Linked DNA regions of Tamandua tetradactyla. The protein of the gene in region 1 purifies or fractionates together with the protein of each later gene. This does not show direct contact. Links are inferred from orthologs where the notes say so. Each region holds a gene or a part of one and is shown in the gene's direction. Other genes may lie near its edges.

The links. Proteins that work in one complex are often made in the same cells at the same time.
Region 2: the proteins of E2F6 (region 1) and L3MBTL2 purify together in Homo sapiens (affinity purification with mass spectrometry; 5 studies listed by BioGRID and IntAct, counting the BioPlex papers as one, with this or other methods). This does not show direct contact. The link is inferred for Tamandua tetradactyla from reciprocal best matches to the Homo sapiens genes E2F6 and L3MBTL2.
Region 3: the proteins of E2F6 (region 1) and YAF2 purify together in Homo sapiens (affinity purification with mass spectrometry; 4 studies listed by BioGRID and IntAct, counting the BioPlex papers as one, with this or other methods). This does not show direct contact. The link is inferred for Tamandua tetradactyla from reciprocal best matches to the Homo sapiens genes E2F6 and YAF2.

What each region holds. Positions count from the first base shown.
Region 1 is NC_135329.1:65,714,243-65,721,856, reverse strand, and holds the start of E2F6 (transcription factor E2F6), read left to right. Parts: upstream 1-4,611; 5' UTR 4,612-4,835; coding exon 4,836-4,964; intron 4,965-5,957; exon of another isoform or gene 5,958-6,011; intron 6,012-7,614. UniProt on the Homo sapiens protein: Inhibitor of E2F-dependent transcription. Binds DNA cooperatively with DP proteins through the E2 recognition site, 5'-TTTC[CG]CGC-3'. Has a preference for the 5'-TTTCCCGC-3' E2F recognition site.
Region 2 is NC_135333.1:34,374,906-34,382,688, forward strand, and holds the start of L3MBTL2 (lethal(3)malignant brain tumor-like protein 2), read left to right. Parts: upstream 1-4,777; 5' UTR 4,778-5,835; coding exon 5,836-5,871; intron 5,872-7,783. UniProt on the Homo sapiens protein: Putative Polycomb group (PcG) protein. PcG proteins maintain the transcriptionally repressive state of genes, probably via a modification of chromatin, rendering it heritably changed in its expressibility.
Region 3 is NC_135333.1:101,735,029-101,742,825, reverse strand, and holds the start of YAF2 (YY1-associated factor 2), read left to right. Parts: upstream 1-4,791; 5' UTR 4,792-4,970; coding exon 4,971-4,996; intron 4,997-5,427; coding exon 5,428-5,553; intron 5,554-7,302; exon of another isoform or gene 7,303-7,684; intron 7,685-7,797. UniProt on the Homo sapiens protein: Binds to MYC and inhibits MYC-mediated transactivation. Also binds to MYCN and enhances MYCN-dependent transcriptional activation. Increases calpain 2-mediated proteolysis of YY1 in vitro.

The sequences.
Region 1 (7,614 bases):
GAAACCTCTCAGCCACTGAGAATTTATTTTGTCTCATTTCTCTCTTCCCCCTTTGGTGAATGAACTCCACGTTGCCAGAGAGATCTATACTCCTGGGAGTCATGTCCTACATAGGGGAGGGCAGTGAGTTCACCTGCTCAGTTGGCTTAGAGAGAGATGCCACATCTGAGCCACAAAAGATGTTCCCTGGGGTGACTCTTAGGCCTAATTATCAGTAGGCTTAGCTTCTCTTTTTCAGGTTTCCTACTGTTTTTAAGTTGCCTTTTCCTTGACTGGGTGTTCACTCCATTACTGAAACCCTTTGACTGTTTTCCTGAACTCTGAGAAGGATGGTTCTGCCAGGGTTTGCTTGTTATTTAAAACTTCTGTGGGGAAATGGTACCCTAGAGGTTCTCCCTCCACCATCTTGGTGATGTCACTTTCCAAAATGGGAAATTTTAAGTTATATTCATGTTGCCATGATTTTTAAAAATCAACCCTGTGGGTGATGAGAGACCCTCTTTTCTTCTGGATTCGCGCTTCCACATGGAGGAGTTTGCACTGAAGTAACAGGCTAGTTACTGCACTAGTGTAACAGCCCTGGGCTCCGAGCCCACCCCTTGTCCTTCTGCCTGGAGGGGAGGCAGACCTTAGGCCACCTTTCTCGGCTGGATAAATTTCCTTAGGGGTGTTGGTTTCTTCTCTCTCTGCTTTGGATCCAGTGAGGAAGACAACTATGGACAGGGATATCTGCTCCACAGGCCATAATTTTCCAGAAGTGGACTGTCCCATGGCCCTGATGGGTAACAGAGGAGAAGAAACTCTCAGTAAACCCATTTGTTTACATGCCTAAGCCATATACCCCCATGTGCTGGTTTGAAATGATGTATGGACCCTAGAAAAGACATGTTTTAATCCTAATCCCATTTTGTAAAGGCAGCCATTTCTTCTAATCCCTATTCAGCACTGTATGTTTCAAACTGTAATCAGATCATCTCCCTGGAGATGTGATTTGATCAAGAGTGGTTGTTAAGCTGGATTGGGTGACAACATGTCTCCACCCATTTGGGTGAGTCTTGATAAGTTTCTGGAGTCCTATAAAGGAGGAAACATTTTGGAGAATGAAGGAGATTCAGAAAGAGCAGAGCAGAGCAGAACAACATAGCCACAAGAAGCAGAGTCCACCAGCCAGCAATCCTTAGAGATGAAGAAGGAAAATGTCTCCCGAGGAGCTTCATGAAACAGGAAGCCAGGAGAAGCTAGCAGATGATGACTTCTTGAACCAAGGTATCTTTCCCTGGATGGATGACTTAGAGTGGACATTTCTGTAGACTTGCTTTAATTGGAACATTTTCTGGGCCTTAAAACTATAAACAAGCAACTTATTAAATTCCCCCTTTTAAAAATCATTCTGTACCTGGTATATTGCATTCCGGCAGCCAGCAAACTAGAACACCCCATCTCACTTTATCAGAAGCAAAGGTGAAATTTTGATCTACATCTATCTGAGTCCCAATTATCCTATTCCTTTTATGTCTCACAAGCAGGGAAGAAGGATTATCAGAGGTATGCCTCCCCGGTATAAATAGCCTCACTGTGGCTGATTTCAAGCCATTGATGGTTTAACAACCATCTATTGGTATTTATTCCCTCAAATACCAATAGATTGGAAGCCAGGTTTCAAGCAAGGGAGTGTTTGATCTAATTTACGTTTTAAAAATATCACGCTAGACTTCTGCTTCTATTCTTCCCGCTATATAGAGCTAAAAAACCTGAACATAGTATATAAAACAAACATAGGAAGACTCTGAAGATAGAGAAAAGAAGACTGGTTAGGGAACTCACTGCCTGAGGAATGACACAGCAGTAAGTTCAGTAGGTTTCCTTTTTGCCTTGTGTATCCCAAACTGGGTGCTGGAGAAGCTGTTAACTATAAACACCGATTAGTACCCAAAAAACCTCCTCAAAAGTTTGCCCTCTCTAACCAACATATCAGGAAAGGGACAGCTAGCAGGAAATAAAACTTTAGAAAGTAGTCACTCTGTGCTAGGTAAACCCCATAGAGAAATCTGTGGTGCCCGCCCCACCCATGGCAGACAAGATCAAAAGGGAAGCTTAGATTTGTGCCCTCACCCAGGGAGAATGAGGCAGTCCTTTCCCCCCACCTCCAAGTGAAGGTCAGAGGAGGACCTGTGGAAAGTCAAGGCGTTCTCCAGCACCCAGCAAGAACAAGGCTGAGCCAACACTCACCTACACATGCCAGTGGTGTCACTGGAAGCCACTTAGAGAGCAGTGATGAAGCACCCTCATGGTCCCAATTACTGTATGGCAACTAATGCCAAGTAGAAAACCTGCTGTTCACCCTGCCCTGGTAATAGCAAGGTGGCACCCCTCCTTCCCCACAGAGCAGCGTCAGAAGACGACTACTAAACTAACACAGATGTATGTAAGAGCTAGTCTCATCCCATAAAACCAAAATGTCCAGGTTTCAATTGAGAATCACTCCTAAACCAAGAACCAGAAGGAGAAAAGACAAACAACAGAGACCAATACTGAGATGACACAGGTGTTAGAATTACATAACAAGGATTTTAAAACCCTGTCATAAAATGCTTCAATTAGCAATTATAAAAATGCATGAAATAAATAAAAAGATCACTGCTGATGTCCAGGTTTCTGGTTTTACTTAACACTTAACTCAGTGTCTGAAAGCTTGATTAACTCAGGAACTCACTTCTTAAAGTCAAGTACACTGTTGAGCTGGGCTGGGCTACTTTTTGAAAACACACTAGAATTTTGCATCAAGGTCTCAAAGTCGGGCACTGGGAAATAGGGGAGAGCAACTTAAAACTGTTTTTCCTCCCATACATACTTAATAGATACTTACTACCTGCCAGAGACTGTGCTAGGAGTTGGGATATAATGATAAATAATGCACAATTCTTGAGTTCAAGAAGCTATAATCCAATGAGAAGGGTAAATGCAAGACCGACACTAGGAAATCTGGCAGGTGCCACAAAAAGGTAAAAAATATGTCATTAGGGAAACCTAAAAAGGTGCATTATATGTCAAGAGAAGAATTAGACATGTTTTCACAAAATAGGTGGTCATTGAACATGGTCTTGAAGGAGAGGGGATTTACACAGGCAGGGAAGGAAGGAAAGATTTTATTGCAGAGAAAATGGCATCTCTGAAGGCACTGAGATAGAAGCCATGTGTAAATGCTGGAAATTGGGGCACTTTTGGTAGATTAGCATGTTCATATATGGGTAGGCCTGGGGAAGAGGGGAAAGTGTCTCAGTCTGAGATGTGTTGGAATGTAGATTGGGGCCCATCATGAAATTATGGTATCTAGATTCAGTTTCTTCCTCAGCAAAAGAAAGAGATTTGGATTAGCATCACGTTTCTCCCTTTGTGATGGCAGTATGTTCCAGGTCTTCAGGAGGCATTCAAATGGACACTGTGTATTTTCATAGTTAGAATTTGACCATGTGTGTTAACGCGTGCCTTCTATCCTGAGGTGGTGTCCGAGCCGGGCTGGGTGAACTTCAGGACTCTCATTGCCTCCCAGCTGGTCAGGAGGTTGACCCACCCACACACCTCCAGAGATGGCAGGCAAGTTATACCAAGTGTTATTTAAAGATAAATAGATGTTAATTTTTAAAGTGAGTTAACTTAAAGACCTGTATTAAGTAAATGATGGAGATGGCTACGCCTTGAATGGCTGCTGTCAGAGAAACTCCCCGCACCCTCGGCTCCAGGGTTCTACCCCATTTCTCACCCTCTAGGTCTTCAGATCTTGCCTTCTCAGGGACTGGTTGGTAAAGGCATCTCCACCTTGCAAGATGATCCAGTCTTCTAGAGACCTTCCCTAGGGTTGCCGAGGCACTTCGTTTCAAATCACCCATTTGGCACGTGCTGTATTTCGCAGCCGCTGTGCTCCCTCCAGCCGGGCTTCGTTTCAGCCGTGTGCTGGTCGCTGCTCCGGGCATCTATATTCCTGCGTCCATTTATTCTCACAGCAGCCTCACAAGAAGTGAAGACAGTCATTACCCCTGCTTTACAGGCGAGGAAAGCCAAGCACAGGGAGGAAAAGTGACTTCCCTAAAGTCTTCTCATTTATAATAAGTGGGCCAGGGTTTGAAAACACATCTTCTGGCTCTGGCTTAAAATGTTCTGTTTATTTATCTTTCTCTCAGGACCTAGAGATGGAGCCTGGGTCAAACTGAGAAGTTTGTCACCTGGGCCCAGCACAGCACCGGACACAGCAGCTGACCATTAATGTATTCGTGATGGACGGGAGGGGAGAAAGGAGCGCCCAGGTGAGCAATTCCGCATGGTGTGCTTTCCAGAGCCTGGGATGTGCCGAAGAAGCTACAAGAATAAACGAGCAACGCTGCGCGTCCACACCTCCCCACGGTCAGGGTCATGAATTGCAAGGCCACCCCCATTCCATCCCTCAGCGTCGGCTCCACCTTTTCCTTTCTCGGCACCATCCCCTCCGCAACCTCCGCTGCCCGGGTTTTCTCGGGCACTGGTCGCCGGGAGAAGTCCGCGTCTGGGAGCGCCCGGGCCCAGCAGGTATGCGCATGCGCAGAGAGCGCGGCGCACTGCGCATGCGGAGGACGGCGGCTCCGGCGGCCCGACGACCCGTGGGCAGCGCTGTCCTCCCGCTGCGGCTGTGACTTTGGGCGCGTGGGGCTCGTGGCGCGTTGGCTCGCCGAGCAGCCTGCTGGACGCCGCCCCCGAGTGGTCCCGGGCTCCGGTGCGGGCCCGGCCCCGGAAACCCGCGCGTTGGGGGCGGTGCTCGAGCCCAGCGGGAGAAGGCGGGAGAGCTCTCCGGGTGCGAGGGGCGAATGGCCGCCGGGCTCGACAGCATGAGTCAGCAGCGCCCCGCGAGGAAACTGCCCAGCGTCCTCGTGGACCCGGCGGAGGAGGCCGTCCGTCGCCGGTGCCGAGACCCCATGAGCGTGGAGAGCCTGCTGGTAAGCCCCGGGGAACTCTGTCCCGGGCGACCCGCGATCGTGCCGCCGGGGAGGGTCTCTGGGCGCAGTCCCCTCCGCGGGGAGCCCGCGCCGCGCGCCGTCCGGCCGCAGCTCTGCTGCGCGGGTGCCGTGGCTCCTAGGGGTCACGGACGGTGAACCAGTCAGGTCATTCGCTTTACTCCGTCGCCCGGTTATTGCAACTTGCTGTGCAAATGTGTTCGCTTTCCTGGCGCTCAACTCGAGGCCGCGGAGTAGTGTCGGAGAAAATTGCTCAGTTTTGCATTATGAATGCGAGTTGTTCCATCTCAGCTAGACTCTCGGTGTATCTCTGCAAGCTATCGTTTTTCTTCTAAGCTTCTCTCCCATTCTTCCGCTTAAATGCCGTCAATTTAATAAAAACACGTGCGTGCTTCAGGTCTTCTCACATCTCCCTGTTTAGCAAATTATCTTCCATTCTGTTTTCCAGAAAAAAAAATGGGTGGGAAATTTGGCTCACTTCCTGCAGAAGGCTAATTTTCTCTATAAGTGTTCTCGGCTAGATGCTGTTTTCTCTGTGGCTTACAGAGCCCTTGATGAAGCCATCATTTCCCATTTCTTCCTGTGGTTTCAACTTCTCTGCTAGCTTCTTCCCATAGTAATAGCTAAACATTTACTGAACAGTTATATCCAGTTTTCATGCCAGATAGCTTATGAACGTTATTTGATTTAATTCCTCACAGCAGTCCTAAGAGATAGATACTGTTGTTCTTGTTTTACAGTTGCCAAAATAGACGTGGGGATGTTAAATGACTTATCCATAACTAGTAAGTGGAGAAGCCTGGATTTAATCTCAAAATATCAGACTATAGATGATAAATTCTTGACTATTTAACTGCATCCCTTCAGTGATCTTAAACAGATGTCTGTCTGAAAATATACTTTCCTTAATTCCATAATCCCTTCATTTACTGTATCTCTTCCCTTTCTTGAAAAAAAAAAGTTGTTTGCACTTACTGTACTCACTTCCTCAGTTCTCACCATGTCAACCTACTCCTGTGGAAGTTTTGCCCTAACAACACCACAAAAACTGTTCTGACGTCATAGACAGTCTTATTAATTCTAGTAAAAATTCCTCTCCTTCGCTGTTATTTAAAGCTCTCTCCACTTAACTTCTGACATTACATACTTTTGGTGATCCATCTTCTTATCTAACCTCTCCTTGTGCTCCTTTGCAAACTTCTCTTCCCATTCCTTTAAATGTTGGTGTTATTCAAGTCTGGAGGCGTGACTGGAGAAAGATCCACTTCCAAGCTTATCCCTGTAATTATCAGCAGAACTCAGTCCCTTAAAGGTTGTTGGACTAAAGGCCTTAATTTCTTGCTGGCTCTTAACTGAGCCCTCCCTTAGTTCTTGCCATGCACGCCTTTTCATAGGACAGTTCACACATGGCAGCTGGCTTCCCGGAGATCTAGCCAGAGAGCAAGAGAAGGCGAACAAGATGAGCACTAGTCTCTTTGTAACTTAATCTTGAAGTGACTCTGTCACTTGCTGTGTTCTGTTCTTTAGAAGGGAGTCACTGAAATTCAGTCCACGCTCCAGTCAAGGTGATGGCACAGATCGAGAGTACCAGGAAGCAGGGGTACGGAATCATCTTAAAGGCTCCCCGTACATTCCACCCTCTGGCCCCCTATAATGATTCACAACCTTCCTCATGGAAGATCTACTCCCCCTCCAAAAGTTTTATTCCGTTGGAACATTCGTCGAAAGTTCAGAGTTGCGATCGGGTCCAGCTGTGGATTTAGGCTCCTTGAGTATAGTTTCTAACGTATAGTTCCTCAGGTATGGTTCTCTGGATATTAAATCTGTGAACCTGAAAAAATAAGTCGTCTGACTCAAAATATGGCAAACAGTGGCAAGATAGACATAGGATAACTGCCATAGACCTTCCTTTCATAAAGGAGGAAATGGGGTAACAAGTAAATGGTCCATAATCTGAAAACCAGCCAGGCTACTGTTGGAAGTTTCTTTTTTTTTTTTATTTAAATATTTTTATTGAGGTATCTTCATGCACATACAGTCCATCCAAAGTATACAACCAGTGTTGTATACAGTATCATCACATACTTGTGTGTTCACCACCATGATCACTTTTAGAACATTTGCATTACTCCAGGAAAAAAAAAAAAACAAACCCAAACATCCCATACCCATTATCGTTCCCTTTCATTGTTCACTAGTATTACACTCTACCCAGTTTTTTACCCCTTATCCCCCTCCCCCATTATTTATTTCTTTTTGTCCTTTTTTACAGTTATCTGTCGATATCCAGGACAAAGGGAGCATCAGCCACTAGGTTTTCACAGTGACGCGGTCACATTATAAAAGGTATATAGTTATATAATCGCCTTCAAGACTTAAGACTACTGGAATACAGTTCAGTAGTTTCAGATACTTCCCTCTAGCCACTCCAGTACATCAGAAACCAAAAAGGACTATTTATATAATGCATAAGAATAACCCCAGGATATCTATTGATTCTGTTTCAAATCTCTCAACCACTGAAATTTTATTTTGTCTCATTTCTCTCATCCCCCTTTTGGTCAAGAAGGCTTTTTCAGTTCCATGGTGCTGGGTCCCAGCTCATCCCTGGGAGTCCTGTCTCACATTGGCA
Region 2 (7,783 bases), on another chromosome or scaffold:
TCCTCTCCTTTTCAAGCAGGGAGATGTTATAATAGGTTTGTGTGCTGATGGGTATCATCTAATAGAGGGATAAATTCTGATGCAGGGTTGGTGGGGTGGCGCTGTGCAATAGCTCTAGCCATGTCCCTGGATAAGCAGGATGGGACAGGGTCTAACACAGTGGTGCTCAGAGTGGGGTTTGCAGGCTGGTGTGCATCTGTGGACTCCTAAAGGGCTAAGAGGAGACAAGCAAAAAAAATTGAAAATAAACAGCAACTTTTATAGTGAAAAAAAAAAAACTTTATAAATTCTGCATAGGCCCAAAAAAATACTCAGGCAATCTGAATTCAGCCCAAGAACCTCTGGTTTGCAACCATTCTTTACGCAGTATTTCGTAGGAAATTGAGGCTGGGGCAAACCACAGAAATTAGTATCACCAACAAGTAATATTCCTTCATCTTTGTGTCTGAGTGCGCAGCTAATTTAAGCATGTCTGCCCTTGTATTTCTCCTAATCAACAACAAGGGTGACAATCTTTGGCAATGTATTCAAATCATCACTTATCCATCGGGGTAAACTGAAGAAGGTTAAATTAATTTCTACTCATTCTTCACAACTCAGCTCAGGTGGTGGCTTCTCCAGGCATCTCCTGAACCTTTGCCCTAACACCCAGGTGCACTGCAGTGCCAGCACACATTTCTTTCTGTTACAACCCATCTAACTCTTACAGGACATCTATCAGGTAGGTTTCACTACCATCCCCAACCTACATAAGAATAAGTACCCTGTCAGAGATGATGGTTAGGAGAGAGGAAGGTGAGGACATATAATCAATCACCTTCTTGACACTACTTATCTCCTGCGCTAGATAGGGAGTTCCTTGAGGATTAGTGTCTTGCATTTTTCATTTTTTGTATCCACAGTAATCCTCAGCACTCTGGAACAAATGGAAGGTAAGGAGGGAGGAAGGAAGGGGCACTCCCCATAAAAAAGTACTATGGAAAGGGGATACTGACAGCACATGTAGTTATTCAACAAACATTCTAGGCATGAGACCTGCTGAGGTCTAGAGGAAAAAATCAGGATTAGAGGGCTCAGTTTGGTGAGGGTACCAGATATGTACATTAAAAATAACAGCATTGTCACTTGGCTTTATTTGGAAAAGTCAGGGAAAGCTTACTGGTAGAGCAGATGCTCCAGCTGAATCTTGAAGAAAGAGAGTAAGTGTCCCCTAGCAGACAACAGGAAGGAGAGCCTAGGCAGAGGGACAGCATGTGCAAAGGCACTGAGATGACAGAGCCTTTATCAGAGCACCTGCAGCCAGCTCCCAATCACTCCAATTCAAGCTACACACTGGGCACATCAGGAGAGGCTAGAGGGGTAGACAGCCTCTGAGCATCTAAAGGGTAAGCGATGGGGAGCCAAGAAGGGTTTTGTTTGTTAAACAGTTTTATTGAAGTGAATTTATATAGCATAAAATGTATCTGATTTATGTGCACAATTTGTGATTTTTAGTAAATTTAGAGTTGTATAAGCAACACCACATCCAGATTTAGATTTCCATCATCTGAAAAAGTTCCCTCATGCCTATCTGCATTCAATGTTTGCACCTCCAGCTCCAGGCAACCACTCATCTGCTTTTTGTCTCTATAAATTTGCCTTTTCCACTAAATGGTTTTAAACACCACCACCCCCACCACCCCCAAAAAAATCATCGTTAAAAAAAATATCACTTTGAGTTGCGGAGATTGGTTGGAGGGGGTTAAGAGGGAAGGCTACCTCTGTCACCATTTCCTGATTCAGGATATAAAAGCATCTGAGGGGGCGGGCCACATTGGCTCAGCAGGCAGAGTTCTCACCTGCCATGCCAGAGACCCGAGTTCAATTGTCAGTGCCTGCCCATGAAAAAAAAAAAAGTGAAAAAAGCATCTGAGGACTTTTATAACAAATCTACAAACCAGTTTCCCACTAACCCTGCTGGACTTCCCCCAGATTTTTTAAAAGTTACACCTAATTGATCCAAGTTTCAGATGAGTGATTAGTCTAGTGAATCAGAGTTGTGGGCGTCTGTCATGGGAAACCAGTGGTGTTTTCAGATTTAATTGTAATCATCAGAAGAAAATGCCCTTGAAACTCAATCTGCTGCCTAAGGTCCACATTTTTGTTTTGTACTGCTGTTTTTGAGATGTCAGGATTTTATTAAAGGAATTGCTGTTTTTCTCACAGCACAACATTATATTCAGGGACGGAGGCTCTACTTGCTCCATATGAGGAATGTGCTAGTTAAAAAAAAAAAAATGCCTGTTAGCTGATTTCGAGGTGATCAGCTCAAATGAGCAAAAGGCATTGGGAGGGGGGGTTTGTTGTGAGGATTAAATAAAATATTCAAACGTGCCTGGTACAAGGTGAAGTTCATTAAATATTTGTTGACCCTGAACCCGGATCACACTGTGAAAAGCTAAGTTTTTGTCTGCCCCTTCAGAACTGGTTTACTTCATGCTTAGAGACTTGTTTCCTACCTTCTAAAAAGTGTAAGAACGGCTCAGGGCTTTTAAGATAGTTGTGAGGATAAATGAGGTTACAGAATAAGTGAAAACACTTAGCCGGGCACCTGGCACATATCACAGACCTCTGGGAAAGGTTAACCAAAAAAATAGCACCTTTGTCAGCGCTGATGGCAACTGTCACCTGTGGAGAACCTCTCTGCACACATTAACAAATACACTCCTCAAAAGTGGGCATTTGATAAGTACCTGCCGTTTGATAGGTAAATGATATCACCAAATTAACTGCCATTATTCTATAAGTAAACAATTTTGGTTCTCTTAACTGCTACTTCAAAATCCCTACTTACATTTCTCATGTTCCTTCCAATAATTTGCTAGGAGGTACACCTGTCAACAGGAAGGACAGAAAATGATCAATTATCACCAAATGCCCTCAAAATAATTGGCTAGAGAATTATTCAACCTGGTTGAACTTTTCAGAATTCAGTCAAACCCACCCAATTACTTTCCAGTTTTCACTTTGCCTCAAGTGCTCTTCATACTTGGGGCAGCCCAAACCAGCCCAATAAAATAAATTAAAACTGCTGTTCACCACCACCTTGGTCGCTGGGATATGGTAGTTGGTGGTTGGGAAGGGGCAAGAAACTCCAACAACAGTAATGTCTTAAATTTAGTAGGTTCGTGCTCAGATAATGAAAGCACAACATGTTAAGAGTTTGGGAGAGAGAACTGTATTCTCATCCATGGTAACTTGGTATGGGGAAACCCATTTGACTTAATCAATAGGAAATCTCTGTCATTACTCCCTTATCTAAACTTCTCTAAGACAATTTCTTCATCTGTAAAATGGGGCTAATAAAAACGCTTACTGGGCGAGTTGTGAGAATTACATATGACGTGATTGAAAGTGCTTTAAAAATTGCAAAGCACTACTTACATATTAGTTATCAGTTTTCCTAGGTCCAGCCATTTTTACAGAGCCAAGCATGGCTCTAAAGATCTTCCCGAGGTTTTACAGCTAATTAGGGCACAGCTCACTCAGTGGTCTCCACCCATCAAAACCCTACCCAATTTTCAAAGCGTGGTCCAAGCATTCCTTTTCCTTAGCCTAGGGCAGTGGGTCAGGAGTGAAAGGTCCCAAGTTCGTACCCCAGCTCTGCCTCTTAATTACACACTCCCAGGGCAGATGCTTGTCCCGGGTGCCTCGCCTAGCCACCTGGGGAAGGAAGGGGAGGTGCCCGCACCTGGCCAGCTGAGGTGCTTAATAATGGCAGTTACCTCCTGTCAGCCCCCGTTGTCACTCCCTCTTCTCTTTTCTCACCGCACTGTGGTTGCAATCAAGACCAGCAGTTTTCGAGGGCTCGCTCTGTGTCAGGCACAGTGCGAATTGCTCTGGCCAAGCACAGCCCCCTTACCTCAGTATAACTAAGACAAAGGAGGGGCTCGCCGCCCCTCCCCCCTCTCTGGGGGGCAACCCCACGGCGGGAGTCCTAACCCTGACAGCCCCCACTCCAGTGGTTCTCCAGAATCTCGGGGCGGCCCCTACGCCCCCCAGCGCCTCCCGTATACTGCCATCACTGACCGCCCCAAACTGGACCCCGGCTGTCCAGCAGTCCCGGCGAGCCCGCGCCTCATTCCTCCCCGGTCCGGCCGGGAGCGCATGGGCAGCCGGCTGCAGCCTCCCAGGCTGAGGGCGCCGAGCAGCCTCGCGCCGAAGGCGGGCACGGGGGCGGGGCGGGGCCGCCGGCGGTTGGCGCTCGGAATCCGAGCGCGCCCGCCGGGCCACGTGACCGCCGGCACCGCCCCCTTGCCCAGGCCGGGAGTTGGGCGGGTGTGGGGGAGGGGCGAGAGGCATCCCAGACGCGCGGGGCGGCGGAGAGCCGGTTGGCAGCCCCGTTGTGCAGATGAGGCGACCTGACTCCTGTGTCGAGTCACCGGTGCACGGGAGGCGGGCCGGGCGCCAAGGCGGTTAGTGCCCAGCCTAGCCCGCGGTCGGGGCTTGGAAGCGTTGGTCTTTCTCTCTGAGGATGGTTTGGGAACGGAAGCTCCGTGAAGGCTGGAACCGTGGGGTCCTCCTGTTCACTTTTGTAGCCACAGCGTCCAGCAGCAGTGGCCGTGCAGTAAATATTTCAATGAAGAACTCTTACCCTGGCCCTTTCTAAATATCTGGCCTCAACTTGGGTCACACCACTCCCCAAAGACTGTAATAATTGTTGGAAGACCACACAGAAGCGGATAATGTGGAAGCGAGCACCCATCTGCAAATCATAGGTGCAATCTTTTTTTTTTAAAGACTTGTGTAGAGAATTAATGGGCTCGGATAATAGGCGAGAGCAGCTAGGAGGCTTCCGTGCTATCCAGAGGAGAGAAGATGTGGACTGGATTTAAGTTGTGGCAGTGGAGATAGAAAAAAGTGGAAATATTTGGGGTAGATTTTGGAGAATTAAATGGATTTGCTGATGACTTTGAACAGTGAGGGCCTGCAAAGGAGAGAGACAGGAGGAAAGCCAAGAGGGACTCAAGAAAAGCCAGTGTTTCGGAAAGGATAAAGTAGGTAGTTGTGTGAAATGCAAAAGAGGGAAGTGGTCATTGAATTTCAGGTCAGAGAGGCAGTAAGTGAACTTGACAAAAGCAATTTTGGTGGAGTGTAGGGACAGATGGAAAGCCAAGAGAAGAAATAGAAATTGCATGTGTAGACAAACCTTCAAAAGGTTGGGCAGTGGTGGAGTGGAGAAATGGCATATGGCAGGGGACAAAGGCAGTGAATCCAAGAGATGTATTTGTGTAGTATGGGTGACTAGAGCACATTTGTGTCGTTTTGGGAAATGATCCAGTAGAGAGCAAGAGATTTATGATCCTAGAGAGAGAGAGGGACAATGACTCACATGAGGTCCATGTATAGAAAGATGGCTCAGACTAGCCAAAATGCTACCTATGCTACAGAAAGAGACCCAGGCCCAGGAGCTCTGCCACAGAAGGAACAGCCACACTGTTCCGGGGTGGCCAGTGTTGCTTAGCAACCTGTGTTTAATAGGCTGTTTCAACTGAATTCCTAATTAACGGCCATTTCCATTCATGCTAGCTGTTACTGTCACCAGGGCTCCCTCTCTGCCCTTTTTCCCTCCCCCGTAGTCTGGTGTTTCCGACTCCTGCTGAAATGCTGTGAAACTGGAAAGTTCAGGTTTCTATTTTCTTATACTGTTGGTGATATGTACATTGAGATGTGAAAAATAATAAATCACAGAGAAGATGGATTTAGGGACTCTAATTTCATCTTAAGAGAGGATGCCAGAAGTTGCAGGATTTAGATCACCAGTTCTGTGCTTTCCACCTAACTCCAACTGCCTTCATGTCCTCTTCTTCACTGTCTCACAAGCATCTCAAAGTAAGTGGAACTCTTAGTTCATTCCATTCAACTACCCAAAGTCATCCATCCCTGTCCAGTTTTCACCGTTACAGAATATGGTGCTGCCATCCACCCGGTTGTCCAGGCCTCAATCCTCACATATTCTGCCCCACCCCCACTTCCAAACCCACTACATACATTTAATTATTACCTCCTATATATTTTTTTTTTTTTTTGCTAAAGGGCTTTTTAAATGTTTTCTCTCTGTTTTAACAATATCATGAAAAAAATACAGTTAAGAATCTGGAACTGACCACTGTCTGGATGGGTTTCAAGGGCAGCTGGGTGGGGTTGCCAAGCCCCTTCCAATTCCTCCCCACCTTGGGAGTGAGCTGCTGGAAATTGGAGCACCAAGAGGGCACCTGAACCGGGAACTAAGTGTCTCTTAGAGTCGGGATCTGGCAAAAACTGGGAGGTTAGAGCAGCTACCTCACCAGCCAGCGGGAATCCTCCTTGTTTTACTAAGTTCTGTCTGCCACCACCCACCACCCACCCCATCAGCTACATGGAGACAGGAGGAAGGGGCTCAGCCTGTCAGAAACTGTCAGGCAACCCTGGTGCTCCCACCCAAGCTTCTACTCGATTCCCTCAGGTAAGGCTACAGGATGCTGAGTTAAATTTGAACTTCAGATTAGACAATAATTTTCTAGTATAAGCATGTCCTATGCAAATATCTGGCACATACTTATACTAAAAAATTATTACCTGACATTCCAAACAATTCAGCACCCTGTTTTGTTTTCTTTTTGCCTTGTTGTGTTGTGAAATCTGGCAACTCTACCCTTGTCCCAGATTTGGGGAGGGGTCCAGCCAGCAAAGAGGCCTGGGAGCATTCAGCATGGCGGGCTGGGGTGGGCAGGGAGGGGGAGTAGGAGGATGGGTAGGAAACAATCCAGTCAAAAAGGAGCTCCCCCTGTTCCCGGGAATGATATATTATTATTATTTTAATCATTTCCAGAACATTCTCTACACTGGCTGTCTTCAGTTAACTGGTATGGGGTGGGGGAGGGGAGGGGCAACATGCACAGACATCCACACCACATAGCTCTAAATAAAGTCTGGAAGCACTAAACCAAGTGGAGCCGGATTCCCTGCCACAAGGCCTGCCCTGCTAACATCCGCTGTGAATTTTCCAGAGGGGCAGACTTAGTACAAGGTTTTCTAAAGAAACTTGATCTTCCTGCTGGTGGCAGACGTATTAACAGCGCTCCTGATATTGCTCTCTAAGGGTTTAAAAATAATAAGGAACAAAACACACCCACGGGGCTGAGCCAGTGCCCAGCCCCGTCGCCAGCATCACTCTGGAAGGGCTCATTCTTCCAAATTCAAGAAGTGGGGTGGAGGCGTCTCCTACTGCATGCCCTGTTCTCAGCCCCTGGGAGGGGCTGCGTTTACTGTGTACAGTCGTGGAGAGCCACCTGGTCCCACTTCCCTCCAAGTGGCTCCAGACTTCGGGGCAGGAGCCCCAGGGTCCAGGAAGGAGGGGCTGGGACACCAGCCCACCTCCCTCTTTCACGACATGTATTTTATTTTGTGGCTGCCGCCAGGCACTGCAGAGATGCCAGGAAGATGAGGATTGCTGAGAGCCTTTAGTCCTGCGTGGAGGCCACCTCAGGGCTGATCGGCTCTTGCTGCACCTGGCAGGGGTGCAGGTTGACAACCGGCACCCTTTGGAGGGCAGCGGGGTACCTCCAAAATATTTTTTAACATTCTTCTGCTTTTCTGCATGCCCTCTCTGTCTCTGCCCTAGACCAAGCTACCACCATCCTTCACCTGGAATGCACGAGAGCTTCTAACAGGTCCGGCTACTTCTTTTGATCCTCCTCCAATCCATTCTCCACACTAAAACATACATCAAATCAATGAACTCCCCTGCTTACAACCTTCAAAT
Region 3 (7,797 bases), on another chromosome or scaffold:
CGTCCACACAAGCATCTGCACATGAATGTTTATAGCATCTTTACTCATACTTTCCAAAATTTGAAAGCAATAAAATGTTTTTCAGTAGGTGAATGAATAAAAAAACTTTAGTACATTGATAAAATGGAGTATTATTCAGTGACTTTTTAAAAAAGGGCTATCAAGTCATGAAAAAAATGAATATTGCTAAGTAAAAGAAAGTCTGTGAAGGCTACATACTATATGATTACACCTTATGATAGTCTCAAAAAGATAAAACTATATGTGCTGGTTTGAAAGGATGTATGTACCCTAGAAAAGCCATGTTTTAAACCTAATCCCGTTTTGTAAAGGCAGCCGTTTCTTCTAATCCCTATTCAGTATTGTATGTTTGAAACTGTAATTAGATCATCTCCCTGGAGATGTGATTTAATCAAGACTGGTTGTTGAACTGGATTAGGTGACGACATGTCTCCACCCATTTGGGTGGGTCTTGATTAGTTTACCAGAATCTTATGAAAAGGGAAACATTTTGGAGAAGGAGGAGATTCGGAGAGAGCAAAGAATGCTGCAGGACCATGAAGCAGAGAATCCACGTGCCAGCAACCTTTGGAGATGAAGAAAGAAAATGCCTCCCAGGGAGCTTCATGAAACCAGAAGCCAGGAGAGAGAGCTAGCAGATGATCTGTGTTTGCCGTGTGCCCTTCCAGCTGAGAGAAATGTTGAACATCATCGCCTTCTTTAGCGAAGGTATCTTTCCCTGGATGCCTGATAAGACATTTCTATAGATTTGTTTTAATTGGGACATTTTCTTGGCCTTAGAACTGTAAACTAGCAATTTAATTAATTCCCCTTTTAAAAAGTCATTCTGTTTCTGGTATATTGCATTCTGGCAGATAGCAAACGAAGATCAGTGGTTGCTTGGGGCTGGGGTGAGTGGGGGGTGGGGTGGGATAAAAAGGTGGAGTAAGAGGTATTTTTGGAGCAGTAAAACTATTCTGTTTGATACTGTAATTGTGGATACATGACATTATGTGCTTGAACCAATAAAAATGTAGAACAAAGAGGGAACTATGGTCTCTCGTTAATAATGTATCAATGCTGGTTTGTAAGTTATAACAAATGTCTAACTAATGCAATATGTTAATAACAGGAGAAACTGCGTGCGTGGAGGAGAGAGAGTATATTGGAACTCTCTGTATTCTGCAATTTTTCTGTAAACTTAAAATTGCTCTAAAAGATAAATCTATTAAAAAAAATAAGCCAGTCAACCTTATGTGCACATGCACACACACACACACACACACACACACACACACACACACACACACACAAGAGTCTTCAGTGAAGTTTTTATGCTGGCAACATATAACTTTTATAACCAGCAAAATCAGTAAAGGTATTTTCATTTTGCAAAAACCAAACAAACAACTGATTGAACAAACAAAAACCAAACAACCTTTTAAAATGTGATTGGTTTTACAATTGTGGCTTATTACTGACTTTCTTCATTTTGCATTCTATTCTCAGGGAAGGTTTGTGGTTCAGCTTCTCCCTTAGTCACAAGTCACGCTCTTTTCTCTCAAATTCCAGTTGATAAACAAACAAAGATGGCACTCCTCATTTCAGGCAACCTCTGTTGTCTAATAACTATACTCATCTTTAAAGCTTAGTTTTTTGTATATTTTTTTAATTGTTGTGTTTGCCTCATAGACATAAACTCAGGGCTAAGCAGAAGAGCCTGGGTTCTCAGGGATCCTACCGTCAATCTCTTGAACTAAGACAGAAGTTCTCGATCTTTTTTGACACCTCCACAGACAATATATTACTGTGTACCTGTGCATGTGAAGCCATGCAGTTTCAGAAACTTCTCCAGTCTCTCCAATTCTAGGAATCGTATTAGAATGGAAATGAATATTATTATAGCGATGACCTTTTAATTTCTTTAAAATTGTTAAAGAATTTCATTAGAAAATATCAGAACTTTATTGCCAAACTGTTAAAAGTATTGTTAAAGTACTCATGTCACTTTACAAGTGATGCCAGTGAACTGCATTTCTAAAGGATGGAACTTTGTTATTGTATCAAAGAGTCATCTAAACCTGGGTCATTCTTCCAGATAGTAGGGAAAACATTTCAGGAAAAATGGTGTGACTTTTGTGGTGAAGTAGGAGGAGGTGCTCCTTGTACTGGTGTCTCCATGTAAGCTTAAAATAGGAAGGAATTTTTAAAAGAGATGTACCCAGTAAATGGTAGGCAGCTAGTAGATTGCAAGGCATTTGCTTTTGCACTCCACAGAAACTGGGTCTAATTCCTCGTTCTTCCATAAGAACTGTCTTGCAAAATTGTAAATTTCAGTTTGCAGACTTGTTATAAACACCAGCATTTACTGAGCATCTACTGCATGCTAATATGCTTAAAAGGCTGTGAAACCAGTATGAAAAAACACTTTATTCAAGAACTGTGACACAGGTGAATTTATTCATTCTCAGACTAGTTATTGAGTGCTTATTACCTGCCAGACTTCTAGAACTAGGGATGCAGTGACGAAGACAACAAATAAAAGTGCCTGCCCTTTCTGAGCTTACGATTTAGAGGTGAAGTTTAATTTCTAGTGATGGAGTTTATATTCTAGCAAAATGGTGATTTACAGCATGGAGCGTTTTTAGAGTGCCTGATTTAGTTTTCTATTTATTCAAAAATACATTTTGCATCCCTTTTACAAGCAGACCGATTCTAGTCAATCTTTTTGATGATCCATCCAGTTGAAGAATTTAAAACATAATGCCTTAGGATTGGAAGGGACCTGAATTGTTATAATTGTTTTAACTTCATTTTACAGATGGAAATAAAACTGAAACCTAACTGTGTTTACTGCTGTATTACTGAGAGATGTAACTATCTCTTATATAACTATAAGGCTGAGAAAACTAGGCCTTAGATCCATGCTTTCCTCAATCATAGTCTCGCCTTCTAGGGTGAAACAGTCTGAGTTGAGAGAAGCAACACTTGCAAAAAGAAAAAATGGTGCTACAAGTTCAGAGACCGCTGTAAATTGGACTGATATGGTTAATCAGAAAGCATAGCTTAGTGGGAGACTAATAGGATATCTGAGTGCTAAACTTGAAAAATTCATTAAAGAGAAGCCATTTAACCCAGGCCCTAAACTCCTTGTCTTTAAAACGAAGGTATGCAACTAGATGGTGAGAACTAACATTTCATAGCACTTTGAGCTCTTTAAAGTATGCATCTATGTAAAAAGATTTGCAAAGTGCCTGGCAACGTGGTGCTCAAAATTGTTTTGTTTTTTTTTAAATAATTTTTAATCCCACAATAACCTCATAAATATAGCTGTCATTTTGCAGATGCAGTTGAGAATTACAGAAATTAATCAAGTTTTCCAAGGCTCATTGGTTAAGGAACAGTGAACCAAGCCGAGAACCCAGGACTCTGTACTGTTCTGTGTATGTGTGAGAGGGCACGCCAGCGTGTTTCTTCTATATTAAGACCCTACTAACTATAATATTATTTCATATATTTATAATCATTTTATATAATATTATCCTATTGAAGTGAACCTAGAAAAATGGGCAGAAATAGCACAGGCACAGAGGAAAGAAGGAAATATTCAGTGTAGACGTAAAATGTGCACGAAGGGAGAGTTTTGGGAAGGGAAATATTGAATATAACCTATCAGTGTTTGCTAGAAGGCAACTTCTCTGAAGAAAGATGGGGAGTTAAGGGAAATTTGAGAAAGGCCTGGCAGAGTTTGGAACCTGTTAGGTTTTTGAGCAGAGCTGTGGCACAATTTTAATAGCCTTTTTTTTTTTTTTTTTTTCATGGGCAGGCACCAGGAATCTAACCAGGTCTCCGGCATGGCAGGCGAGAACCCTGCTGCTGAGCCACCGTGGGCCGCCTTGTTAACAGCCTTTTATAATTAATCTGGTTGTGATTTACTGAATACATGGGATGGCAGGGCTAGAGCTTTAGAGACCGCTAGTTAAACAGCTGTTGCTCGAATCTATCTTGTTTTCACAAGGTGAAAAGGTCCTTCAGTATTTGAGGTAATGAGACTCTGGGAGAATACGTGAACAGGCAACATCGTTCCCTTCTTAGGCAACAACGTTCCAGGCATATTATTATCTTAAAACATGGCTTATAAGTATTCGTTTTCTTTTAAGAGCATCTCCTGCAGAGGTCTCTACGGCCAAAGAAGCGCGTTTGGAATCAAAACAGGTTAGAGTCCTGTTTTTGCCATTTTCTAATTATGTAACCTAGAGGACGTCACCAAACCTCTCCTGAACCTCGGTTTCTTCCTTTAAACTAAGAGCAACAATCCTTACGAGCATTTGCGTAGATTAAACCAGACTGTTTTTAAGACACCTAGCAATGGCGCTCACTGTTGGTTCCTGCCTGCCTTCAGGTATCCTTTGGGGAGGGGTGTTGAGTGGCTAAGGGCCGCCCGGCAGGGCACTCGTGGTCCCGAGCCGGGCTGACCTCGAGAAGGCTAGCCCCACCTTTGACCAGGCTTTGAGCGGGATGACGGAACATCTCCTCTGGCCGGCTGGACAGACGCTTCAAAGGGTCAGAGGGGATCTACATCACGCGACATCCACAGCCAGCCGGGATGCCGAAGGGAAGCGCCTGGAACAGGACCGAGAAGCTGCGACGCCGCCTAAAGCTGCGGCGGCCGCCCCCGCAACGCCCGCAGCCAGCGAACTCGCCGCGGGTGCTGGGCCGCGCTGGCAGCGTTTGAAGTCTCCGGCGCGGCCTCTGGTTGGCGCGCGCGGGTCACGTGCTCCCAGGCAGGAGTTTCCCCGACAGCTGGAGGCTGCGTGGGATCCGGCGGCAGCTTCCCAGCTCGGCGGTGCGGCCTTCCCCGCCCCCTCCCTCCTCCCTTCCCCGCCCGCTTCCGCCCGGCTTATTATCTTTCTTATTGATAAACAGAGCTGCCGCGGCGGCGACTCTCGGCGTGCACTGATAGCCAAGCCATGGGAGACAAGAAGAGCCCCACCAGGTAAGAGCGCCAAGGCCCCGGGGCCCGGATTGTGCCGGCGGCAGCGCCCTCGTGCCGGGCTGGGGCGGGCCCCCTCGTTCGCCGCCCGGGCACCCGGACGAGAACGGGGGCGGCGCCGCTGCTCCACGAGCGCTGGCGCGTGAGGGGCTGGCGCCGGCCGCCCCACAATGGAGCCGCGATGGCGGCGGCGGCCGGAGAGGCAACCCCCTGTGTCAGCGGCGGCGGCTGCAGCGGCGCTCGCGCCTTCCCGGCTCTTGACTCCCACTCCTCTTCCCTCTCGGAGCCGAAGCGCTGCGCGCCGCTGGCGGGCGGGCTGGGGGGGTCGCAGAATTGGGGCCGGGGGGCGGGGCGGGGGCGGCCGCGGAGCGGGGGCGGCGGGCGCGGCCTGTTGGTGACCCTGCGCCGCGTCGTGTCCGGGTTGTGTCCTGCAGGCCGAAGCGGCAGCCGAAGCCGTCCTCGGATGAGGGTTACTGGGACTGTAGCGTCTGCACCTTCCGGAACAGTGCCGAGGCCTTCAAGTGCATGATGTGCGATGTGCGGAAGGGCACCTCCACCCGGTGAGTCCTGCCCCGCGCGCGGCCGGCTGACTGATCGCGGCGCAGAGGACGACCCTGCGGCTGCCGCCCCTTCCCGTGACATTCGCAGACCGGGCAAGAGGAGGCGAGACTGAGGTGGTGGCCGCGATAGGAATTGGGTCAGATTGATCGCGACCCAAGTGATGGTTTGCGGTGTGGGGTAATTGAAGAGGCTGCAACGTTTTTTATTGCCAAGAGAGAATAAATTATTTAAGCGAGACATTAGCTACTGCGATTTAATTCGTATCGCAGAGTGTAATGCCCTCCTCCCTTCCCCCGGATATAATAATGTTGGCCGCATTGTTGTGTTAGTGTGTGGGGATCAAGGAAAAACCATGAAATCCAATTTAGGAGCAAAGGGTGTAATTTAATTTCGTTCCTTAAGAAAAAAAAAGTGTCTGATTGTAGAATGCACAGTAGATCAGATTTCTTTTTTTATAAATGAGTGCCTGGAAGGGTCAGATCAAGGTTTGTTTGGTGTTTTTATTCCACTTCTCTAATATTTTATAGATAAGTAGTTGGAGCTGAGCCAATCAATAGAAACGCATTTTTACTGAAATTATCTGAATATCTTTACTTCGATTAAATGGCAATCAATTAGACGTTAAAATGAGATGAAATGTTCTCTGCCTGTTTTCAGTTTTAACGCTGTTTTGTAGGCTTACAATGTAATAATTCTGTCTTTTAAAAAGCTACATAAGTGAATTAAGTGGATAAAGAAAATCATCCGGGGTAGTCAGTTAATGACATTCTTGTCACCAGCTCTTACTTACAAAGTTCCTTTGCTTTTACAGAAAGGTTGCCTTTCAATTAATTCAGTTTAATTCAGTCCTCTGATTTATGGCTTAATATTTAGATAATATTTGTATTTTGATTTCAGTCTGTTAGTGATTAAATTATCACAGTAATAAATATACTAATGCTGCAAAAAAGAGGGCCTAAATAATGTTGACATTGGATTTAAATATTCAATCAGGATTAGATTCTAAAAATGAGATATCCAGATTTTTTTTTTTTTTCTGCACGTGGGCAGGCACCAGGAATCGAACCTGTGTGTCTGATATGGCAGGCAAGAAATCTGCCTGCTGAGCCACCCTTGGCCTGCCTGATACCCTGATTTTTAAACACCGTTTATAGCATTTTATTAAAAAATTCTAACGTGGAGATAAATGTTTAAATTTTAAACATGTTTAAACAAAAGTTTAGATTTTTAAGGTTTTTCTCAGTGAAGTTAACTTTTTTTATGTGCCTTTTTTGTAAATCATGAAATGCTTTTTGCATATTCCTTTTACAGTGGATACAGTATATTTAACATTTTCACGATATCCTTTATAAAGGACACTTTCAAATATCTACTGCTAAATTTAAGGAACTAAAACAACAGAAAAGTTCAAAAATAGAAAAGTACCAATTTGCTAAAATGAACATAGTAACCACTTTTGGACCCGTGATTTAAGTATTTTGAAAAGTAGAGTATCTCTATGGGTAAATAGGTTGGAGTTAGCTTAGATTATATTTGTATATCTATGAAAGCATTTTATACTATTTTAAATGCTTATAAGCAATTCTTAGAAAAAAAATTTTTTTTGGAGGCAGGAATTTTAAAGTGGAAACAATTATTATAATCTTAATCTCTGGTACTATATTGTTGCTTTTTGTTGTTCCCTCTCTATTTTCTTTTAGCCATTAGAAAAATACTGAAACTAGAAGAGCCTATATGTTTATTTGCAGGGACAGCAAGGAAGGGGGGAAGCTGGTGTCCTACTACTCCACAGCCAGTCTTGGGGTTAGAGAAACCCTGAGAAATAGAGTAGGTGGTGGCAGCTCAGAAGAGAAGAAACAGGCTGAATACCTGGCACCTGGAAGAAGAAGGAATATAGTGCACAGGGAAGTTGGCCCAGGACAGAGAAGTGGGCCTAGTTTAAAAGAGGCATGAGGCCCACATGAGGGCCCCTGACATTTTTTTACCGGTACTTCTGAGCTCTTGTAGATCCAATTTTTAGTGGTCGAAACATTACTTGAGGAGGACTCAGAGAAGCATTGTCATTTGGATTGAAACTGAAGAGGCTCTGGGCAACTCACCAGAAGTCTAAGGGACACTCTGTTCCTAAAAGTAAGTGTTCTTCTACACTGCGATCCTCTCAGCTTCTTCCTTCCTCTCTTGAATTGTCTCTTCTCTTTTGATTTTGGCCCTAAGTTAAACCTATGAGCTCTAATTTCTTTATT